Coturnix japonica: one gene and its partners. The protein of the gene in region 1 interacts with the protein of each later gene in a pairwise test. Links are inferred from orthologs where the notes say so. Each region holds a gene or a part of one and is shown in the gene's direction. Other genes may lie near its edges.

Evidence for each region.
Region 2: the proteins of AQP1 (region 1) and RGS17 interact in binary tests that used the Homo sapiens proteins (3 or more experiments, as listed by UniProt). The two-hybrid records come from large-scale screens. The link is inferred for Coturnix japonica from reciprocal best matches to the Homo sapiens genes AQP1 and RGS17.
Region 3: the proteins of AQP1 (region 1) and REL interact in binary tests that used the Homo sapiens proteins (3 or more experiments, as listed by UniProt). The link is inferred for Coturnix japonica from reciprocal best matches to the Homo sapiens genes AQP1 and REL.

Annotation. Positions count from the first base shown.
Region 1 is NC_029517.1:951,836-958,762, forward strand, and holds the start of AQP1 (aquaporin-1), read left to right. Parts: upstream 1-2,421; 5' UTR 2,422-2,499; coding exon 2,500-2,886; intron 2,887-6,927. UniProt on the Homo sapiens protein: Forms a water channel that facilitates the transport of water across cell membranes, playing a crucial role in water homeostasis in various tissues.
Region 2 is NC_029518.1:44,752,639-44,759,465, reverse strand, and holds part of RGS17 (regulator of G-protein signaling 17), read left to right. Parts: intron 1-600; coding exon 601-690; intron 691-4,370; coding exon 4,371-4,605; intron 4,606-6,627; coding exon 6,628-6,816; 3' UTR 6,817-6,827. UniProt on the Homo sapiens protein: Regulates G protein-coupled receptor signaling cascades, including signaling via muscarinic acetylcholine receptor CHRM2 and dopamine receptor DRD2.
Region 3 is NC_029518.1:5,507,415-5,514,341, reverse strand, and holds the start of REL (proto-oncogene c-Rel), read left to right. Parts: upstream 1-3,325; 5' UTR 3,326-3,461; coding exon 3,462-3,468; intron 3,469-6,927. UniProt on the Homo sapiens protein: Proto-oncogene that may play a role in differentiation and lymphopoiesis.

The DNA of each region.
Region 1 (6,927 bases):
TGTCAGGTAAGACTGGCTAACAGCTCCCCAGCTGTGCATTTTCCACGTTTATATGTCAAAGTTTCTGTCTTTATTTTGTTTCAGCTCACTTGAATGTATATATACATATACATATATATATATGTTGTTTCTAAATCTGTCTTAATCATTAACTGGTGGCACTCCAAGATATGAAGGGGTGGGTATTAGCTACAGAGAGCTCTATCAGGAGTCCCAGGAGGAAAATAAATTAACTAACTCTAAAGGAGGGTGACCAATTGCTCTTGAGGAACATTGAATTTGAGCATTACCCACATAGGCCAAAGCTATCTCACAAAAGACTAAAGGTTTTGCTTGCCTTGTACCCCATCTCTGTTACTGGCCTCCCAGGGATACCTATGGGAGACTGAATGAATCAAACAGGCGTCTGCAACACTTCCCCAGCTCATTTTCCTGGCTTCTAGTAATTTTCCTTTGAGGGATTCCTTCTCACCTTATCAGTACTGGGACAGAGGTTGTTTGGTCATCCAGGCCCTAATTGTAGGAAGAAGTGAGTAAAGAGGGAGTTTCCTGTAGACACAGTGAATGGGATGGGCAGCTCCATCCCACAGGTGCCAATTTGGGACACATGGAAAGTACTTGCTCTTGTAAACTATTCATAGAGCTCTTCTTTCCCGGAGGTTTGTGATGTATGCCTTGGGCATCTGGAGGTAGAGCCAGGGGAGCTGGTCACGTATGATCTTCAGGTCTTAGGAACTGTTTGCTAAACAGTAAACAAGAAGTTCTGCTGAACGGAATGCAACCAGCATTGACATTTTAATCTTAAAATTCCACCTTGAAATTTGTCTAAATTTGAATTTTGATTCGTCTGTCACTTTGTGCCTCATTGCAGTTCCACTGTAATTAGAAGGATGAAGGCAATAATTTGTTCCTATTTCATTGCTTTTCTTTCCCCCCCCCTTTTTGTGTGTGATTTGTGCAGTGCTGTTGTGTAAGCACATTATAAAGCAGAACAAAATAAAACTACTTATTCATAAAATCAAAAACATCTGAAGACTAGAAAGAATGAAGACATGGGGACAGTGGCTGAGGATGTCCAGATTTTTATTCAGAGCTCTGCCTTGAATCTGAATTCATCTTCAGAAAGAGGAATATGCTTAAGAAAAGGCATCTGTCAATTATTTAATGCTGTTCAGGTGTGTATTTGGTTTTATTCCCTTCAAATTAATTTAAATGCAGTTTAGGAAGCAGCGGTGCTTCAAGGGAAGAAGAAGAAAAAGGAGGAGGCAAAGCAGTGGGATGATTTTAAGTGCTCTTCTTTCAAGACTTGTGTCTGGGGACTTTGTTTCTGCCTCTGGATCGAATGCTGAGCAGCTGTAAGTCCGAGGAAGCCCCCTGGCTTACAGAATATGCTATCAGCAGCCTCTCAGCCCGCAGCATTCTGAGAGCACAAGGGTTAATCCGAGGCATGCACACACGTCCTGCCGCAATAAAGCCCGGAGCGATGAGACCTTTTGCTGCCGAGGATATTCTGGCTTTGTCTGTTGATTCATTTTGTCTGCAAAATCAAGCATGTAATGCCCCTTCTCCCTCTCGCTCCCCTTACGTCCCCGTTTCAGTCTCCCCCGTGACAGCTGATGTTCCTCTGCACTTTTACTGTAGGACGTGGGCTGGGGAGTCCCTGAGCGGCTGCTTTGAGCTGATCAAGAAACCCTGAGATTAGGTAAATTAAATAATTAAATATTAATAGAAATGAATCTATCCCTCAGCACACAGGAATCACGGCCGTGGAAAGCTTCCCCTTGCTGTGGTGTCCGGTTCTATTTACACCGCGGTCACGGAGGTGGGGAGCGATCCCTGCCTCAGTCAGCTCAGATCAGTGCATGTTGCTCTGTGTCTGTCCGTCCGCGATCAGGGTGGCATCCAAAATGTACTCGGTCCCCAGGAAACCAGCAGGAGAGACTTGTCTGTTTTCAAATGAAACAGGGATCTTTCCATCTCTGGAGCGTGGATTTAGTTATCAGCTCTGTTTACTACTGCTCATTGTCCCCCAGCTGCCACAGAGCTGTGTGCCGTAATTCAGCTCAGTGCTTCTCCTTTCAGCCCTCTGTCAGGCAGAGACCCCGCGACAGCCCTTGCTCCGACCCGAAGGATGAGGGATGTTAAATAGAGTGAGGGTAACATTCCCGGGGCTCTCCCAAGGGCTCTTCCGAGGGCTTGAAAAAGCCTCTTAAAAACAGCAGCAGAGATCGAAGGCAGTTAAGAGAGAGGGAGAAAAAAAAAGGAAGAAAAAACTTTGGCAAGCGTGCAGTGTCTTACATCAATCTAACAGTCAGCATCGATGTAGATGTTCTTTCCTCCTTTTGTGCAACACCCCTTCCCTCCTACAGACCACCCAAAGCCCTATAAATAATCCAAGGACCGTATTTTCTCTCCAGCTTTCTCTTCAGACCTCGAAGGGAAAATACCAGGCAGGGGAAAGGAACAGAAGAGAGAGAGGAGGGCAGAGAGAGAGGAGAGATGGCCAGTGAATTCAAAAAGAAAATGTTCTGGAGGGCAGTGGTGGCCGAGTTCCTTGCCATGATCCTCTTTATTTTTATCAGCATTGGCTCGGCCCTGGGTTTTAATTTCCCAGTGTCAGTCAACGGGACATCAGCAACTCAGGACAACGTGAAGGTTTCGCTGGCTTTTGGGTTATCCATCGCGACCATGGCGCAGAGCGTGGGCCATATCAGTGGTGCCCACCTGAACCCGGCGGTGACCCTGGGCCTCCTGCTGAGCTGCCAGATCAGCATCTTCAAGGCACTGATGTACATCCTCGCTCAGTGCCTGGGGGCAGTGGTGGCCACTGCTATCCTGTCCGGAGTCACCTCCTCTCTGCCTTACAACTCCCTGGGGCTCAATGCGGTAAGCTGAAACTTTGCTTTCCCCCCTTGACTCTTTTTCCCAGACTAGAAAGGTGAGGGCAACACCTGTAAGGATGTGTGTGATGTTGGTGGTAACCTCAGGCAGAGAGCTTGTCCTGACTGATGCCAGGATGCGTGCATTCACTGCTATCAGCTGAAGCACTATTTTAATCCTTTTCTTTGGTAAGAGATGCTGTAGGGATGGTCCTTCTGTTCTTTTTCAGAGCTTTATGGTCATTATCAGTTTTGCTCGTGTTCAGTTTTGCATATCCATGCTGCAGAAAAGTGACTTTTGGTACCAATGTAACATTGAAATCACTGATATTTGCATGGCTGAGTCTCTTTCCTGGTTCTGAAGGTCTCAGGTAACATGTCTTTGGCTTGTGATGCTGGTTAATGTGTATAAACTGGTGTTTTCACTTCTGTGAATGTGGCTCTTTTTCAATACCTCATTAATAGTTTGTGTAACCTGATAAGTGCAGTGTAAGAACCTACAGGACCAGTGAGAGATGGGTAGCAGGAGAAACGCTGTCACCAAAGGTGTGAGCATCATCTGTTGCATTTGGCACAGTGCTCTCATCCTGCCTGATGCAGAATCTTAGCTGCACTTTTCTTCTTTTTCCTACTCTTGCTGTGCAAAAATGGGGGGAAATATGAATTTCTCAGGTGTGGGTCAGAGGATGAGGTGAAGAATCTGCATTTTTGAGAGGTGCAGGTTTCAGCCCTCTCCCATCCAGGTGCTCACAGCTATTGTCCATTACAGCATACAAACAGCTGCCTGGTGGCAACCCCTCCTCTTTCACACGTTATTCTTTCTTGCTGTTGCCACTGGACTATAATGGGGCAAAAAGGACAGTCACCCTTTTCAACATGAAATCATCCCAGTATCAGCGCATGTCAGCAAGGCAGTATGCAGAGGAGTACTATAAATGGAAATTCCTTTCTGGTCACTTATCTCACCTGATTCTATTAAGAATGCTTATTTCATAGCTTTTCTATGCCCCCCTTCTTGCAGAATAGTTGATACAGTTTGAAACTTGGATGTATTTGAAATCTTAAGCCCACTGGGGCACAAAGGTCCAAGCACAATATCACTTCAGAAATCATTTTGGAGAAAAAAATAAATAAATAGAAAAAGACAAAGAAAAAAGTTTTAAGCATTTTGTGGCACGAGGAAGAGGAGCTTCTGAAAATACAGAAGCTGACATTAAGGAGGTCAGCGCCACCCATTTGTGCTGCTCTTTGTGTTGGCTGCTCACCTCCCTGCAGGGGTCTCACCCTGCCACCCATCTGGGAACTCCTGTGGGATCATCCAAAACATTTTTGGGGGAAGAAGAGGGAATCTTTTCATTAACTCCAGCGGGCTCTGGCTGCGTGTGTGAGACGTGATCCTTTCCTCTGAAACCACTGGCAGAGGGAAGTGCTCAACCGCATGGGACAGGGCACCCGCCCCGGTGGTTTCCTCGAGAGGTCTGGCTGCCAGCTGCCATGGAACGCGGGAGGTCTGCTTTCAGCAGCATTCCCATTTGGTCTTTGCCTTTTGCTTGCCACAGAGCACTAGTGGCTGGCTCCTTCCCTTGCCCTGAAGCTCCTGAAACTGGTTGTTTGCAAAGTGGGTGTAGGGGACCACCTCAAAAGCTTGCTCCGCTGTTGGTAATTCTTCAAGTTACAAAGATTTAAGTCAGATCTCTGCACAAGGGCATCCAAATAGAGAGAAGTCAGAGATGGAAAAATCACGCAGTGAATCTCAAAAACTGCATTCAAGAGTGCAAGCCCTGCCCCTCCCTCTGGAATACATTCAGTGCACCTTTTTTAATACCATAAAATCAGTGGTAGGAGAATGTATACTCTAAGTCTCCTCCATGCTTATTTTACAAATCTGGCAACACTTTTTGCATGTGGATTGGTGGATGAAATCATTCCCAAATGCTGTGAAAAGCCCTGGTCTTGTTATTGTCAAACACTCAGAGTTTTGATCTTTTATATTCTATTTCCCATCCAGCAATAAATGTTCTGGATAGAAGAGAGCGGGGGGAGGACATCTCAGGAGATAGGGAGAGCAGCAGCTGTTCTTTTCTCCTGTAAGAAGGAATTGGTGAGGAAAGCAAATCCATTCTTTTCCCACTCAGCTGGGACCAGCTGGGGAGGGGAGATGAGGGACTGAGGGGGCAATGGGTCTGAGCCCAGCATGGGGACAACAGAACAGCTGTCCTCACACAAAGCTGATCCCCACAGGGCACATCCTGAAGTCACATTGCACTGCCTCCTTCAGCAAACAGAGCATAAGGGGATGCCGCAGAGACTTGCTTTTATGTCATGCTTGCTTTTCAAGCTGAGGACAAGGAGGGGAGAGGCAGAGCTGGCGTTCCTGATGCCTATTCTGTCTTCTTGTCCTTCCAGTAGAAAATGAGGTATAGACTCACTACTGAGATAAAGAATAGAAAGAAAGGGAGTGCTCCATTTTGGCAAGGTTTGGGAAGGTGGCTTGGATATGCACGACTGCTTCCTCTGTTCAGGCCTTGCCGTGGACTTGAAAGGGTGTTTTTTTGTTTTATTTTTCTTTTGCAAGAAAACTGCAGTGGGAACGATTTAATTGAGACAGTGGCAACCCAGTGCTCTCACTGATGCTGGGTTATATGGGTGGGATAAATTCTGGTTTATCCTGCTCAAGTGCAGCTCCTTCACCAAGGGGCCATAGAGCTGTTACCAATTCTTTAGGTTCCATGCCATCTCATAGAGAGGAGAGACAAAGAAAGGTATTTCAGCTCTTAGACCCTCTCTGTTGTCCTATAGAGAGACCCAGATTTCCTCTTTTACTGTAGAGTAAACTCAGTATGATGAGGCTTCAGCCTTGGGAACCTTGATCTATCTGTGTCTTTCTTGTTGCCCAAAGGGAAAAGGGAAATGCAAGCAAAAACAGAGCACAGAAAACAGGCATGGAAGGTACAGGGCTGAAGAGAGAAAGAGAGCAGGAAAAACCAGGATGCTACTTTATTTAATATGGAGGTCTGTTTTATTATTAGAGACAAGAAAAACTGTCCCATATGAGGACTTAAATCTAAACTGTAGTCAATGAATATTTTTTTAACTTTTGGCTGGTTCTAAGTAAGAAATTCTGGAAAATATTCAGAGAGGTACTTGGATGACTGAATCCTTCTAAGACATAACTTCCCATGTATTTCAGTAATAGCATAGCAGCCAAAGCAAAAACTTTGAGCACTGAAAAAACAGAGCGAGTAGTATTCAGTGTTTGTTGTTATAAAAATTTGAATATTTATACTTGTATCATCTAGTATCTTTTTCCTTTTTTGGCAACTGCATTACTTCATTTCACAAGCCTCCATTAGGTAAAAAAGAATAGAGATAACATAATCCAAAGTGCATTCATCTGCCAACAGAGTTGGCTATTGTCGAGTGAGGACAGATCTGTAGTTTGGATAGTGGAAGAAACTACTCATCATGGGCAATTAATGGCCAACAAAGAGCTCAAGCAGGAAAGATGGGTGAGAGGAGACGTCTGACCTGTAAGGTAACACAATATTTGCTGTTCAGCAATGTTTATCATGAGAACTGTCATCACGCAATTAAAAACGTGCTGAGCAAATTCATCTCTCTTTCTTTGTTGTTTGTTTGCTTCATTTTGTGAGAAAATATTCATTTTCTGAAAAAATGCAGACACTCCTTTGCAGATTAATAATTTTCAGTAGTTTCTGCATTTCTATATACTGACTTAAAAGCCAGGAACTCTGCTTCCATAAGCCACCATCTGGAAATACTTTGAAAAATCTGCCTCAACATTTATAAATACTATATATATATACACATATATATATATAATGTTCAAAGTGGATCAAAAATTGTAGGGAAGAAAAACAGACCTGCAGGTAGTTTTACTCAGGGTCGATACAATGAAAAGGAAAGGAACCAAGAATAACAAGTACAAGAATTCTGTTTTCAAAACTGCTTCATGACAAATGTTCTTTGTGGAACTGAGGAACTTTCCAGAAAATCCAGAGGAGGTGTGGTCAGTGGGTTGTCCAGA
Region 2 (6,827 bases), on another chromosome or scaffold:
GAAGTCTCTTCTTGTAATAGACTTGTTTCTAGTAACATGAAGGTAATAGGAGCCTTTCAGTTGAGAGGACAGTAACTTTTATATTTTGGAATGAAAAAGAAATTCGAGCTAGATGAAATCGTAAGGGGATGCCACATATTAAGTTCTTTATCCAAGCCATCTACTGACACCATATCCAAGAGACACAAAAGGGAATGTTCATAAAGAACCAGTCTAGGATTGGTAGAATACCAATACCTCATCAATTCAGAATTTCTTATCTTCCTTATCTTTATTGTTACTAATATTACTCATGATTTACTAAGTAAACTCACTCCAAATGTGACCTCTGACTTTTTGTCCAACTTTCAGTGGATAAACTGTCAGTTTCTAAAAAAGTCATACATGCTAATGCCACATGTTAATTAATATTCACCAATATTACAGGAAAAAAAATTGTTATCAAAAAATCTCTTTCCAAATTCTGGACATAAATTTTAGGGGTAGGAGTGAAAAATTATACTTGAAATACATTTATAGCATTTGAAAATTTGCATTATTGTAGTAATTGCTTTAAACTAACATTCTCTAGACAAAATAAAGTGTTGTACTACATTGCAGCCTCACTGTTAGGAATGAAGATAGAGGAGACAATGCAGGAAGGCCAACACATACAACCAAAATGGAAAGCATCCAAGTCATAGAAGAATGGTAAGTTGGTGAAACTTTATTTATTAATTTATTAATTTATTTTTATTTACCTGTAACTAATTTACCTTAGTTTTTTTTAGACTTCTAAAATGAAGCAAAATCAGATTTGCCATGTAATGCTATCAGTGATATTTAGCCTTACAGATAGTTTCACATTTATGGATACAAAGCAATGGGGAGGAACAGAAGGCATGTGAAAATGGCTTAACTGATCCATGGGCCTCTGCTGTTTGTAGAATCATTTTCTTCTACTTACCCAGTCAAGAAGTAAAACAAACTTGGGCAAAAGTATATTTTACAGTTAGATTTTTTAACATGCTTAATTTTTGTACATCAGCTTGTTTTATGGTTTTACCTGAATTGACCCAGGAAATATGTGTCTTGAAAGACAGATGTATATATACTGAAAGTCTGAGCCTGTTTCTGTTTGAAGATAAGGCAAATATTTTTTTGTGTTGGGGAAAAAAAGCTAAACTTGTGGCTTTAAGTTCTTTAATCCCATAAAAGGTACATTAAAACTTAATTCAGGAAGACGTTATTGAATTTAAAAGCAACACAAGCAAAATATCTCAGTACCACCATTGCTTTTCATGATCAGTTTTGAAAGGATAAATAAAAACGTTCCACAAAATATGAAAGCACTATAGACTTTTCCCCTTACTGACAGAGAACACGTGGTGAATTGATTTGACAGATTTTTTTCTTTCTTTATATGAGAATGTCTTAATTGTTTATATCCTCCAGTTATATTATGTTGAACTTTGGTGCAGCTGAGCACTCTGGAATTCAAGTCACTTTAAAAGAATTTACAGAAGCACTCCATCATGATGAATGTGTTTACTTCATGACATTCCCTGCTGGGATTAAATGTTTCACAGGTTTTAACGCGGCAGCCTTGTAGCTTTGCTATGCAAAGAAAGTACAAAGCTTAGTGAAACAGCTCACTAATGGTCCAGATCTTGAAATCTGGGGAGTTTCTCAACATCATTGTTGGTGGTAGGCAGAAGAATGGAAGACTGAAAGGTCTGTCCATGGAATATTAAAAGAGCGCATGTGGTTTCACATGAAGAAGTCGTGGTTAATTCAAAGCTGTGAATTAACAGCTCCCTGCCTTCAGAGAAGATTTACCTTCTGTGCTGTCTCTGCTCCCTCCTCTTCTGCCTCCCCACCACTAACTGTACTCCAGATGATATTAATTCAGCTCTTTCTCTTGAGCTGATTCAGGCAGAGGTAGCAAGTAGAGATTGTTTAGGTAAAAATTAATTCTAAACTACTTAATTCACCTCGACTATGATATAAAACTTCATCTTGCATAACTTAAGGTCCTTCTGTAAGCCAATGGAGAAACCAGTAACTCTAGATCATAACACAGGGCAGCTGAATTTAGCCTATGTCAAAACCTATAGTTTCCTATAGTGAAACTTAAATAGCTGTTATCACTTATGGTTAGTGTTACAGTTTGTCTAAACTTGTCAAGTCAATGGGACAATGTACTCTGTGAATCAAACTTTATTTCATGAACTTATTAGACAAAATTCAAACAAGGGCCAAGTATCCTTTAAAGAGGCTAGTCTAACTCATGCAGATCCTGAGTCACTGCTTCATTCATTAACTCACAGATTCACCAACTTGCAATTCCATCAACTCATACACCAGTAAGAAGTAGTTACCTGGGGAGAGTGCTCATGCCTTTTGCTCCATCACTGTATAGGCATCCCCTAACCTCAGGTGTGCAGCTGCTCACAGATCCACTTCAAAAGCTTTTGGGGTAAGGTGATGTGTTTATACCTTGTTTTGTCTACACCAGCTCTTAAGTTAGTGGATTCTGCAGAAACTGCTCATTACTGATGCAAAAAAAATGGAGGAGGTTTGAGCAGAAGGTTGCAATGGCTGCAGAATGGCTCTTGCCTTGTCCTGTCCTTAGTGTCCCGTTTTGTATGATGTACTCCATTTGTAACTGAATGGAGCTGCTCTCAGCAAACATCAGGCCTGTTCTGTGTGTCAGGACTATACCTGAGCAGGAGGTGAGAGAACATCCAGAGGTTTAAATTAAATATCCTATTGCAGTCCCAACCTCTTCTTTCGTGTACCTAGGAACAAGGAACGTTTAGTTCAGCACTGCCGTGGTGCAGCATTTAGGCTGCCTTTGATGTCTAATAAATTCAAGACCTCAACAAAGGAGTTTTCTCCTACTTCACAAGATCAAGATAAGTTATTTAGACATAAGTGAGCTTTAGTTTATCAAATTGGACAGTCTGCGTGATTTTCTTTTTAAATTAATCTACTTGTATAGCACAGGGCTGTACTTCACAAATCTCCTCAGGAAACTGTCATTTTGGAGAGGGAACAGGAAATCCATTTTTAATGAAATGACATGTCTTACAGATGTAAAACATCTTAATAGATTAAACTCTATCAAACTGCCTTATTCTGTACTTTTTTTGTTCACATATTCTTATATTCATCTAACTGCAGTATTTTCCAAATTGATAACTAGGCAACATGGGTTGCTTGTCAGCTCCACCCCTTCCAGCAGGTTCATTTCTCTTTCCTCAGAGAGTGAGGACTTTTCACCATAAAATCTGCATGTTTATGCTTTTTAGTTTTGCTGCTTAGTTTAAATGTTAAAAACTTTCTCATTTATTAGATCTTTTAGTCTGCCAAAAAAGTGTCATAAATAGCTTCCTGACACCCACTCTGTCTTGCATGCAGACTACGAATTGAAAAATGAACTTGAAATTATATGGGCAAATGGCATTTATTGTGCAACATGATTACAAAGACAGTGTTAACAGCAGACTGTAAAATTCTTGCATTGTATCTTATCAGGAAGGGGAGGATGAGCACTCAGAGTTAAGTGTGAAACTGTACTTAACTGTTGTTAAGAAATTTGAATATGACCTTCTCAGACTGTTCGTTTGTACATTATGGATTAGTGGCACAAATTGGTTTTCTGTTCACTCATCCTGTGCATCCGCTGGTACAAGCCGTAAATAGCCTCCTTCAGAAAATGGGAATAAGTTGGTTTTTTTTTCCCATTTCTTCTCTCTCCAGTTTTGCCAGAAACATCCATCACATCTTGTGCCAGTAGATCATCATTCAGGTCAATAGCACCAAACACAGAGAAGCTTAGCAACCCCTAGGTACAAGCACAGAGAAATATGCTAATTTAAAGGCTCTCTGAATTACTATTTTGTTGGCCCTCATTAGTATGCCCTTGGCTGCCAAGAGCCTTTTGTTTTTCTTGTCCTTGCTGAACCAAATTGTGTGGCAGGCAGAGATTGGCCAAATCCTATCAGAAGCAGGCAGAGATATCAGGTGTCCCTCAAGCCTGACAGGAGAGAGAACCTACTGTCAGCTGTCTCACATCTCCTTTAACTACGGGGTAGGAATTCTCTTCTGTTATTGGATTTTTCTTTAGTCTGATGGTGAACAGTACAAGTAAAAAACTTGCAGAAAGCCAAGTGCATGTCTCTTAATATTAAACACATTTAGTGGCCTATTGAGATAATGAATGAGCAAGTGAAGTGAACAAAATTCTCCTGTCACTTCTGAAGCTTTGTTGATTCTAGTTTTCACTCTGGGCTGAAGTGCAGTGGAAAGGAGAAATTTTGGACAATTGTATGAAAACACTGTTACAAAAATAGAAACATATTTGTAATGATATCTTCCTTCTGCAGCCAAAACCCGACTGCAGATGAAATTCTGTCTTGGGCTCAGAATTTTGACAAGATGATGAAAACACCAGCTGGGAGGAACCTTTTTAGAGAGTTTCTTCGAACAGAGTATAGTGAAGAGAACCTGCTTTTCTGGCTTGCATGTGAAGATCTAAAGAAGGAACAGAACAAGAAAGTTATTGAAGAAAAAGCAAGGCTTATATATGAAGATTACATTTCTATACTTTCACCAAAAGAGGTAACGCTGTAAATGTTAGATTGAATTCCTTTCCTATTCCAAAACAGACATGCTATACTCTAGATTGCCAGAAGGGGTCGAAAAGTATGCACAGTCTCAGATGAAAACAATTCTCGGTATAGGAAATAAAATGAGAAAGGGAGGGACTGCACAAGTGCTGACATAAGCTGAGCTGCTTAGTATCACTGGCCACAACTCCTCAAAGCTCTCACTACAAGAGGAATGAAGGGGAAATTCCAGAAACAGAAGGGTGAGAAATAGGAATGCTTCTTTAGTAATGCAACTTGCTTGCCAAAGACACAAAGTACATCATGAAAATGGATTTCTGGAGGAAAAAAAAATAAATAAATTCAGCAACATATGACAAATAAAATAATATTTAACAGGAAACAAATCGTGGAATAGATTCACAATTAGTGCCTTGTAAAACACAGTGGGATTAAAATCAGAATAATGACAGATTTATCTGCTGCAAGAGCTGTCTGGGGAAAAAAAAGCAAAAATTGCTTTGGTTATCCCTAGATACCATCAAATAGTCTAAGAATTGTGATCGCGTATTTTCTCTAATGAAAGGTGGGATAATACCCAGGAAATTATATACAGTTTTCTTCAGTGTCCAACTGAAATTATCTTCAGCATCAAATCATGGTTTGGAACAGACAAATATATAAACATACAATAAATAAATAAATAAATAAATAAATAAATATCCAGGCATTGTAGAAGAGTTTCTTGGGCTATGTCACGTACCTTTAGCAACTCTTCTTTGTTTCTGTATGTGTTAATTTATGCTTACTTGTGGACCTTGCTTGCTACATTTTACCTCTGCTTTTAGTAAATTTTTGCAATTTCATTCTTGTGAATGAAACCAACAGCCATTTAAAATTCCCTTACATTCTCTGTGACATAGTGTATGTTTTAACTTTGGAGTGAGATAACTGCCAGTACAGCAAGCTACTGTATTTCTGACAGTGTATATATATATATCTAGTAGGCACATATTTACTGTACGTCCTGTTGTCTTCCAAAGCCAATATGAACCAGCAGTTAAGACTAAAGCAGTCTTTTGGGACTTAGGATTTAACAGAACTGCTCACATAATTCATTCCCTAGGAATGCAAGGATGTCATTAACCCAACTGCTTCTGCCCCTACTGGAAACCGTATGAGGCAAATGAGAACAGTTTGCAATGCTTTAGATCAGAATGGGAGCTTTAAAGTTCTCGTTCATCCCAGCATCCTATTCTGGATGAAACTTTGGCATAGGAGCTGAAATATTCAGCCTTGTTCAGTGATGAAGTCACTGAGGCAGAATGTCCCAGTGTGCTAAACAAATACCTTGCACACATCTATTTACCAAAGAGATAACTTGAATAATTGCAATTAATCTTGCCATATGGCTTTAGTGAGTCACTGAAAAACTACAATGTGAATTAAGAGATCCATAATTAATTTGTTTCATTCTATAATGGCAATTAATTTTTACAGTATTCAGTGGCAAAGGAACACCACTATCCTGCCAAATGTGAGCTTTCTTGTCCAAGCCATTTTGCTTGGTAATGAAGAATCGATTGGCTAGCCTCATGAACTGGTCTTGTTAAGATCTGTGACACATTCAGAGGAGAATGCTGAATAGGAAACTTCGTGAGGGTCATTCAACATTCCTTTGTGAGAAATATTTCAAAATATGTAAAAAGTAAAACATTTCAGTGTGTAAGAACTTATTTTGGGAAATCCAGGTTACTGCAGAACTTTATTTATTAGCACTAGTATTGTTAAATAGAGGCATTTCATCTTACAGCTATTAAGATGGATGCAAAGACCAAGTCAAAACTGAAATAAAGTCTATCATCTGAGTCTGAAATCATGTGTGTGCATTTTAGAACATTTACTCTGAAAGTTAGAGTGTACCTTGAATAAAGTGATGAACTTAGGATGTTCCATGGAGCCATATGAAAGAAAGAGATATATACAACCTTTCCAGCATTACTGTATAATATCCATCTGTTCTCATCTTCTTCAGGTTAGTCTTGACTCCCGGGTGAGAGAAGTGATCAACAGAAACTTGCTGGATCCCAGTCCTCATATGTATGAAGATGCCCAACTCCAGATATACACCTTAATGCACAGAGACTCTTTCCCAAGGTTCTTGAACTCTCAAATTTATAAGTCTCTTGTTGAAAGTATTACAGGCTCTACTTCTGAAACTTAGTTTTAATTTTA
Region 3 (6,927 bases), on another chromosome or scaffold:
AGGGAGGAAATCTGCCCCTCTGCTCTGTGCTGGTGAGGCTTCACCTGGAGCACCTCGGGATAGGAGGGATGTGGACCTCTTGAAGTGCATCCAGAGAAGGGCCGTGAAAATGATCCACAGAATAGAACACCTCTCCTATAAGGGCAGGCTGAGAGAGCTGGGGCTGTTCAGCCTGAAGAAGAGGAGGCTGTGAGGTGACCTAAGAGTGGCTTTTCAGTATCTAGCAGGGAGCAACAGGAAAGAAGGGAACAGACTCTTTAGCAGGGTCTGTGGTGACAGATCAAAGGGAATTGGTTTCAAGGTAGATTTTGGGTAGATATAAGGAAAAAGTAATTTATACTGAGGGTGGTGAGGCACTGGTTCCAGTGCCCAGTGATGTGGTTGATGCCCGTCCCTGAAGACGTTCAAGGTAAGGCTGGATCAGACCTTGTGCAACCTGATGAAGCTGTGTTGTCCCTGTGCATTGCAGGGTAGTTAGGCCAGATGTCCTTCAGAAGTCCCTTCCTACGTTAAGGATTCTATGATTTTAAAATAAACAGCTCACTCCTTGTGAGGTTGCATCATAAATGAATAAGATGGTGTGAGAGCAAGGAAGTATTTTCTGTTTTCTGTTGGGGAAGCTGAGGCTCAGAATTAAACAACTTGCCTAAGAGCAGAAGGGCTGACTTGCCAAGAGCCAGATTCCAGTCTCCTGAGTCAGAGCCTTGTGCCTTATCCACAAGACCAACCTTTCCCTTGTAGCATTTCCTTTCTCTCCACCCTGTTTTGAGGCGAGGAACAGTAGCATTGTTCTATGTCAAACAAATTTAAAGCATAATACAGGAGTGCTCCCAGCAGAATGGCTGGAACAACCTTTGAGTTTATTATTAATCTGGAAGCCATGACTTTTCTTGGAATGGCTTCTGCATTGGAACCCTCCTCAGCAGGAGCAATAACCACAAAAGCTTTAACCACTAAAAGACCTGCCAGTCTTTAAATAAGAGGCTTTTGAGAGTAAAAAAAATAGTAATTAGAAACAAGAAAAAAACCAAAACACAACCACACAACACATGCTTAAAACAATAAAAACTTTTCAAAAGGCATGGCTGGAAATTACGATTCAGGGGAGTGTGTGAGACATGAAATATCTGTCAAGAAAGCAGGACTTCTAACGTGGTTCCATAAGTGGTCAGGATATTTATTTTTAAAATTGATGCTTTTTATTCATAGTACATAGTACTATGGATACTAGGAGAGCCTAGTTCTGTAAGTGCCTTAATGCCTGCTTGCATACTTAATCAGGCTGGTGACAAGTGGCTTATCTTTGATATTTCAGGTAGCTGGGAAGAGAAAATAAAGGCTTAAGTTTGCCTTTGCTGCTCGGTGGCAGAGCAGGCTTCAGCAGACTTGATTATGCAATGCCTGTGCTAAGCATTACTAAAGGGCCATTATCTTAGGGTTGACAAGTATCCTGTCAATCACTCTGTTTTCTTTCGCTGTAGGAATTGTTTTTGGGTTTGTTTTTTTTTCCCCCACTCTGTCCTTTTCTCTTGCTGCCCCTTAACATCCTGGGGTTGTTCAGCCTGGAAAGAAAAGGCTTCAGGGAGACTTCATCGCAGCCTTCCAGTATTTAAGGGCAGTTTATGACATGAGGGTAATCAATTGCTTACACAGGTAGATAGTGATAAGACAAGGGGAAATGGTTTTGAACTACAGGAAGGGAGATCTAGATGACTAGATGTCAGGGGGAAGTTTTTTACTGAGTGGTGAGGTACTAAAACTGCCCAGAGCGGCTGTGAATGCCCTGTCCCTGGAGGTGCTCAAGGCCAGGCTGGATGGGGCCCAGAGCAATCTGATCTGTTACTCGATCTAGGGGCTAGCAAACTTGCCTGTGGCAAGAGGGTTGGAATCTGATGAACCTTGAGACGTTCTATGATTCTCTGCCAGATTAGGAAGCTGAATTCCTTGCAGAATTTCTTACAGCAGTCTCAGTGTTAACAGGGTCAGCTGATAGAAAGCAAAAAAAGCAGGAGCGAGGACTCGTCTTTGGATAAGTGGAGAAAAACGGGATCATAAACCACTTTAACTGGAAGACAGGAAGTGAAGCACTGGATCAAACTGGTCTAAGAATTCTGGTATCTTGCCTCTGGCTACACAATAGCCAGCTGACAAAAATAAGTGATGCACCTGGCTTTTGTTATGCAATGCTACAGGAGGGGAATTCCGTCCTATTTGCAAAGATCTGCACATGCCCAAAGTTATGACATGTTCTTAAGCTTTCTGTCAGTTGCTGACTGGGTTTCTGTGATTACTAGTACTACCCTGCACTTCCCAAGTTTGCGTCACTCTCATGGGGATGATCCCATGCCATAAATTCAGCTTGAGGCAGAGTAAAACTGTACAGGGTTGTCACTGGAGTAGAGCATCGTATGCTTTCATGATTTTGAGTAGGGCTTCATTTATTTGGTTTGGTCTTTTGCCTTAGAAGGCTTCTCTCTTGCTGTGCAACTTTCCCCTCATCTAGGAATATAAGCATATGGCAAAAGAGCTACACTGGGTTTGTTTTGTCCCAAAGATATGCTCTTTGCTATGCATTTATTTGTGTCTACTACTGCACAGAGAGAAATGGGCAAGAAATTTCCGCTTGCCCTGTCCTTTCTCCAGTCACTTTGTTCAGGGATTTCCTGAGCCAAATCCATCGTATTCCATTGGTAGGTGCAAATAGATTTGACACAGTGAAGCACTTCTATTGCTGGCTTTACTCTTGCTTAATTAAAGCTTGTTTTCACTTTAGAGGAATATAGATTGAATTGAATTCTTTTGGACGTGAAGAAGTACACCTCTCTTAACTTTTCCTTAAAAAATAAGACCACAATGAACCATAAAGCAACAGCTCGTGTCATAGTGTCACAGATATCGCCGTGTGTTAGCTAATTCCTCAGTCTCTGAAGTAGTCCTGAGGAATACCTCTGGTAGCCTGTTCCTGCAGGCCCGAAGACTTACACATCAAAAGAACTGGGTACTGATGTTTTAGTCATAACAGATGGCGGTTCTATTGCTTGGAAAATTGCCTTCCACATCAGCGTACGCCGTGTACCCTTGTAACATCGTTTTCCTTATGAACAGGGCTTCTGCTCTGAGGAACAAAGTTCCCCAGGTGCCTCTGTCTGAGCTTATTCAGCAGTGCTGTGTTTAGGGCAGCACCGAGCTGTGTCCTTCCAGTCTCAAATCGAACGAACCAAGCCGGACCGGCCCAGCCCCCGGCTCGCACCGCTCCTCCACCGCGCCCAGGCCGAGCCGCCGTCCCGCGCAGGCCCAGGCGCTGCGGGGGCGGGCAGGGGGCGGGCCGCGCCAGGTCGGGAAATTCCCCCCGGAGTAGGGCGGCGGGCGGGGGGAAAGCGGGCTTGGTGTCGTCGGTGTGAGGAGCGGCCCCGGAGGGCAGTCCGCGGCGGCACGGCCCGAGCGGCGGCGGAGCTGTCAGCATGGCGGGTGAGCGGCGGGGCGGGCGGAGAGCGGGGCGGCGGTGGGGAGCGGGCCGCGACTCAGGCAGCGCCCTGCTGCACGGCTGGGGAGCCGGCCCCGGGGGAGGCACGGGGCAGCGCTGAGACCGGCTGCCGCCCTGTTCGTGAGCAGCTCCTCTTCCGTCGCGTTCCCTCCGGCCGAACCCCGTCGGAGGCTTCCGGCCGAGGAAGGAATATCGTGAGGATGTTCATATCGGTGGCAGCGACGCCGTCCTGAGACCGTCACGTCTCAGAACGGGGCTTAGAATTCTTAAATCGGTGCTGCTAAAAACGTTTGGGTGTTCAATAAGTGCTGGTGTGGCGGATCTGGGGCAGGGCCGTCAGCAGGCAGGAGCCATGCGGTGCCTGTCCCGTGGGCGCTCGCTGCCGGGAGGATGCAGCTGCGTAAGGAACATGTCATAAGTGCGGAGCAACAGAGATAAGGGATCTTCTTTGGGCAATTACGTTTAAAAGCATAATCAGGTTGTTGGTTTTATCTTTTTAAGGCTAAGTTAAAACTCACATATCGCCCTTTCAGAAGGTGTTCCTTAGCTGTCTCTTTCAGGCTGGGCAGCATTAGTTGGCGTTATGGGAAGGAGGCTCTCTGCTCTCAGCACCAGCGCTGTGTGCTCTGCTACCCTTAGCAAAGTACAAACTTTCACTCCTGTCAAGCGTGTGCTTGAGAAGGCTGAACTGAAGCAGGAGCTAGTGCTTTCTTCTTGCCCTGAATGTGTTTTCAGTGTAATTAGGAACTAGATAAGGATTTTTTCAGCAGGGGAAGTTCACAACTTCCTGGTACTAGCCAGCTTGTGTCATTGTTTTTTTTTTCTTTCTCTGTTGGTTGTTGTTCTGTAAGGTCGTACGATAGTAAAGAGGAAGTTAGTGAGCCGTTTTGTTGTCGTGTTACGATCTGTGCGGTTCATGGGTTCCGCAGTGGATTACTGCTCTAAAATAAAATGGTGAGTGCGCTTGGGGTTAGATGAGATTGAAGCAGAGTGTTCTATGACAAACCTTCCACCAACTCTTCTTCCTGAGTTCCTCTAAGAGGCTGAGTGCAAGTAGGGCAGGAATGTGCAGGCAGTTGCTGCTGCTGCTCAGAAATGGCCGTTGCTGTGGAGGACAGAAGGGCAGCAGTAATCTCTAAGAAGGTGTGACATCAAAGCTGAAGGGCAACACTTCTTGCTTCTGTGTTTCACTGCTGTCACCTGAGATCATCAGAGTTTCGGGTGATACTTTCACATCTCCCACAAAGACCCACAGCTGCTTTGCTTTCAAGCTTGGTGATTGCTGGAGAGTATGTTCACAGGGTACTACTCCTGGTCATGCAGGAGAATGGCAAATCATATAGTCCTCCTGAAGCATTATTCCTTTGAGCCAAGGAGTAACATGGGACGGACGGGACCCATCGTCCTTCTGGTGGTAGTGTCTTACAGCCGTGTTCCTCCCTGGTGGCACAGCCATGTTTAGCTTCAAACTCATCATGGAGAGGTCTTTGAGTCTGTTGTTCCTTTCTTATTACTCTAACAGATTAAGCAACCTTCTACGCTTAAATAGGAGCACGAGCTGGCTGTGTTCTTGGTGCTATTACTGACCTTACTTAGTCTCTTTATGTAGTTGAGATTTGGTCTCTTGTATTTCCTTTAAAATTGTTTATTGTAGAATTCAGAGCATGGGGGCAACAAGCAAGTAGGTAATAGAGATAGCTGTGTGTTTCTTCAAAAACTAGTGAAGGAGGAGAGCCTTAGGCATGGCTCGTAGTGGTCTGACAAATGTGTGGAAAGGAGCTAGTAAGCTGTAAGGACTGACAGCTCTCTGTGTGCGAGTGTAGGTTGTGAAATAGTTAAACCACAGCACTTCACAAGCACATTGCTCATTTACAGAAATAGGGAACGCCAAACAGACCTCCACTTCACTTCAGAGTGCTGATAATACCTTTGGCTCATGCTGATACTTTCATGTGTTTCCTCTATGCAGAAAACATAATGACAGTGACAATTGTGGTAGAGATGATAATGTGATACTTAAACAGAGAGAGTGAGAACCAAGATTGAAATGAATTTGAATGTTTAATCTCTGGAGGCTGCCGTGTCACAGATTTGCTTTTCCACAGACACACACCTGCAGTCAAGCAGTGGGTTTGCTTTCAGTGACACTTGTTTCAACCACAGTCCCAACACAATCGTTGAGCACAGAGTTTTAAAATAAAGTGCTCTGAACAGGGAAGAAAAAGAGTCCTCATAAGCAAGTGTTAGTAGAGCACGATGGGAAATTGATGCTTAAAGCAGAGAGGATTAAAGACTTGAAGCGATTCTGTTCTGCAGTAACTTCTAACAGAAAGGCTCTGCCTCGTCTTGGCAAACACGTGGGCGTATGGTGCGTCTGGTTAGCAGCTTTGTAAGCATGTGTACCTCCAAAGTAAGATGATTAGTAGGTACTTTGCTACAATTTTGTCATTATAGTGTCTAAAATAGATTTTTAATTTAGTAGATGGATATGTGTCTATGTTTGTGGTACGGTGTTACGTAGGAATGGAGAAGTGAGATTCTTCTCCCTCTTCAATTACGTGATGGAAGTGGGAGGCTGACTGGTACGCTGCCATTGCTCCTCACTGCTGGCAGAAGTTGCCTGTTGCCTTGTCCACTGGGTTGTCCTGAACAGGATAACATAAGTAAATGTGAGTGAAGTTATAAAGCTGTATGCTGGGGAGTGAGCTTGGCTCTGGGAACTCAGACTTCTCATCTCCTGAAACCAACTTTATGTCATGTCTCGGCTTTTTTGTTACTAGTGTCCATCATACCCACTTTTGCTGGCATCACTTATTTTCCAGAAGGAGAAAAGGAACAAAGCTTACGTAAAGGGAAGGCTAGAAAAGATTTGGCAAGTGCCTATGGAAGTGGCCATACCTGTAAAGGAACTGGACCTTGAGCAGTGTCTATGCATGCTTGATGTGACAGCTCCTTGTTTGTTTTGAGACGCTGGTTTAAAATCAGTAGTAGATGATCAGTTGAGATACTGCATTCTGGTAAATTGTTATAAAAGAACGTGTAGAGTCTTAAACTGCTCTTCTCTAATGCTTGGAACAAAACACAACCTGGAGTTGAAATGCTTTATGGCTTTTTAAGAAAGTGTTCCTTTTGAAGAGGCATGTGTTGTTGGAGGCAGTTTTGGTGTCAGAGCAGCTTTCGCACTCTGCTATTGCACAGCTGTCTGTCAGTGTGTAGTGGCTGAAATGTGTGTTCAAATAAGACCAAGCTAACATCTCAGAAATGGAGTTCTCCCATTCTCTACTTAATTACTTTGTAATATCTCCTCTGATCTGGGGTGTGAACTGCTGGAGCACCGTAAATCTTCTACAAATCAGCAGACTCCAGTCATAAAGTTCAAGCTTTGTGTTGGCAGATATTGTAGGTGCAACAAACGAGAAGGTTTCATTATGGAGCTAAGACTG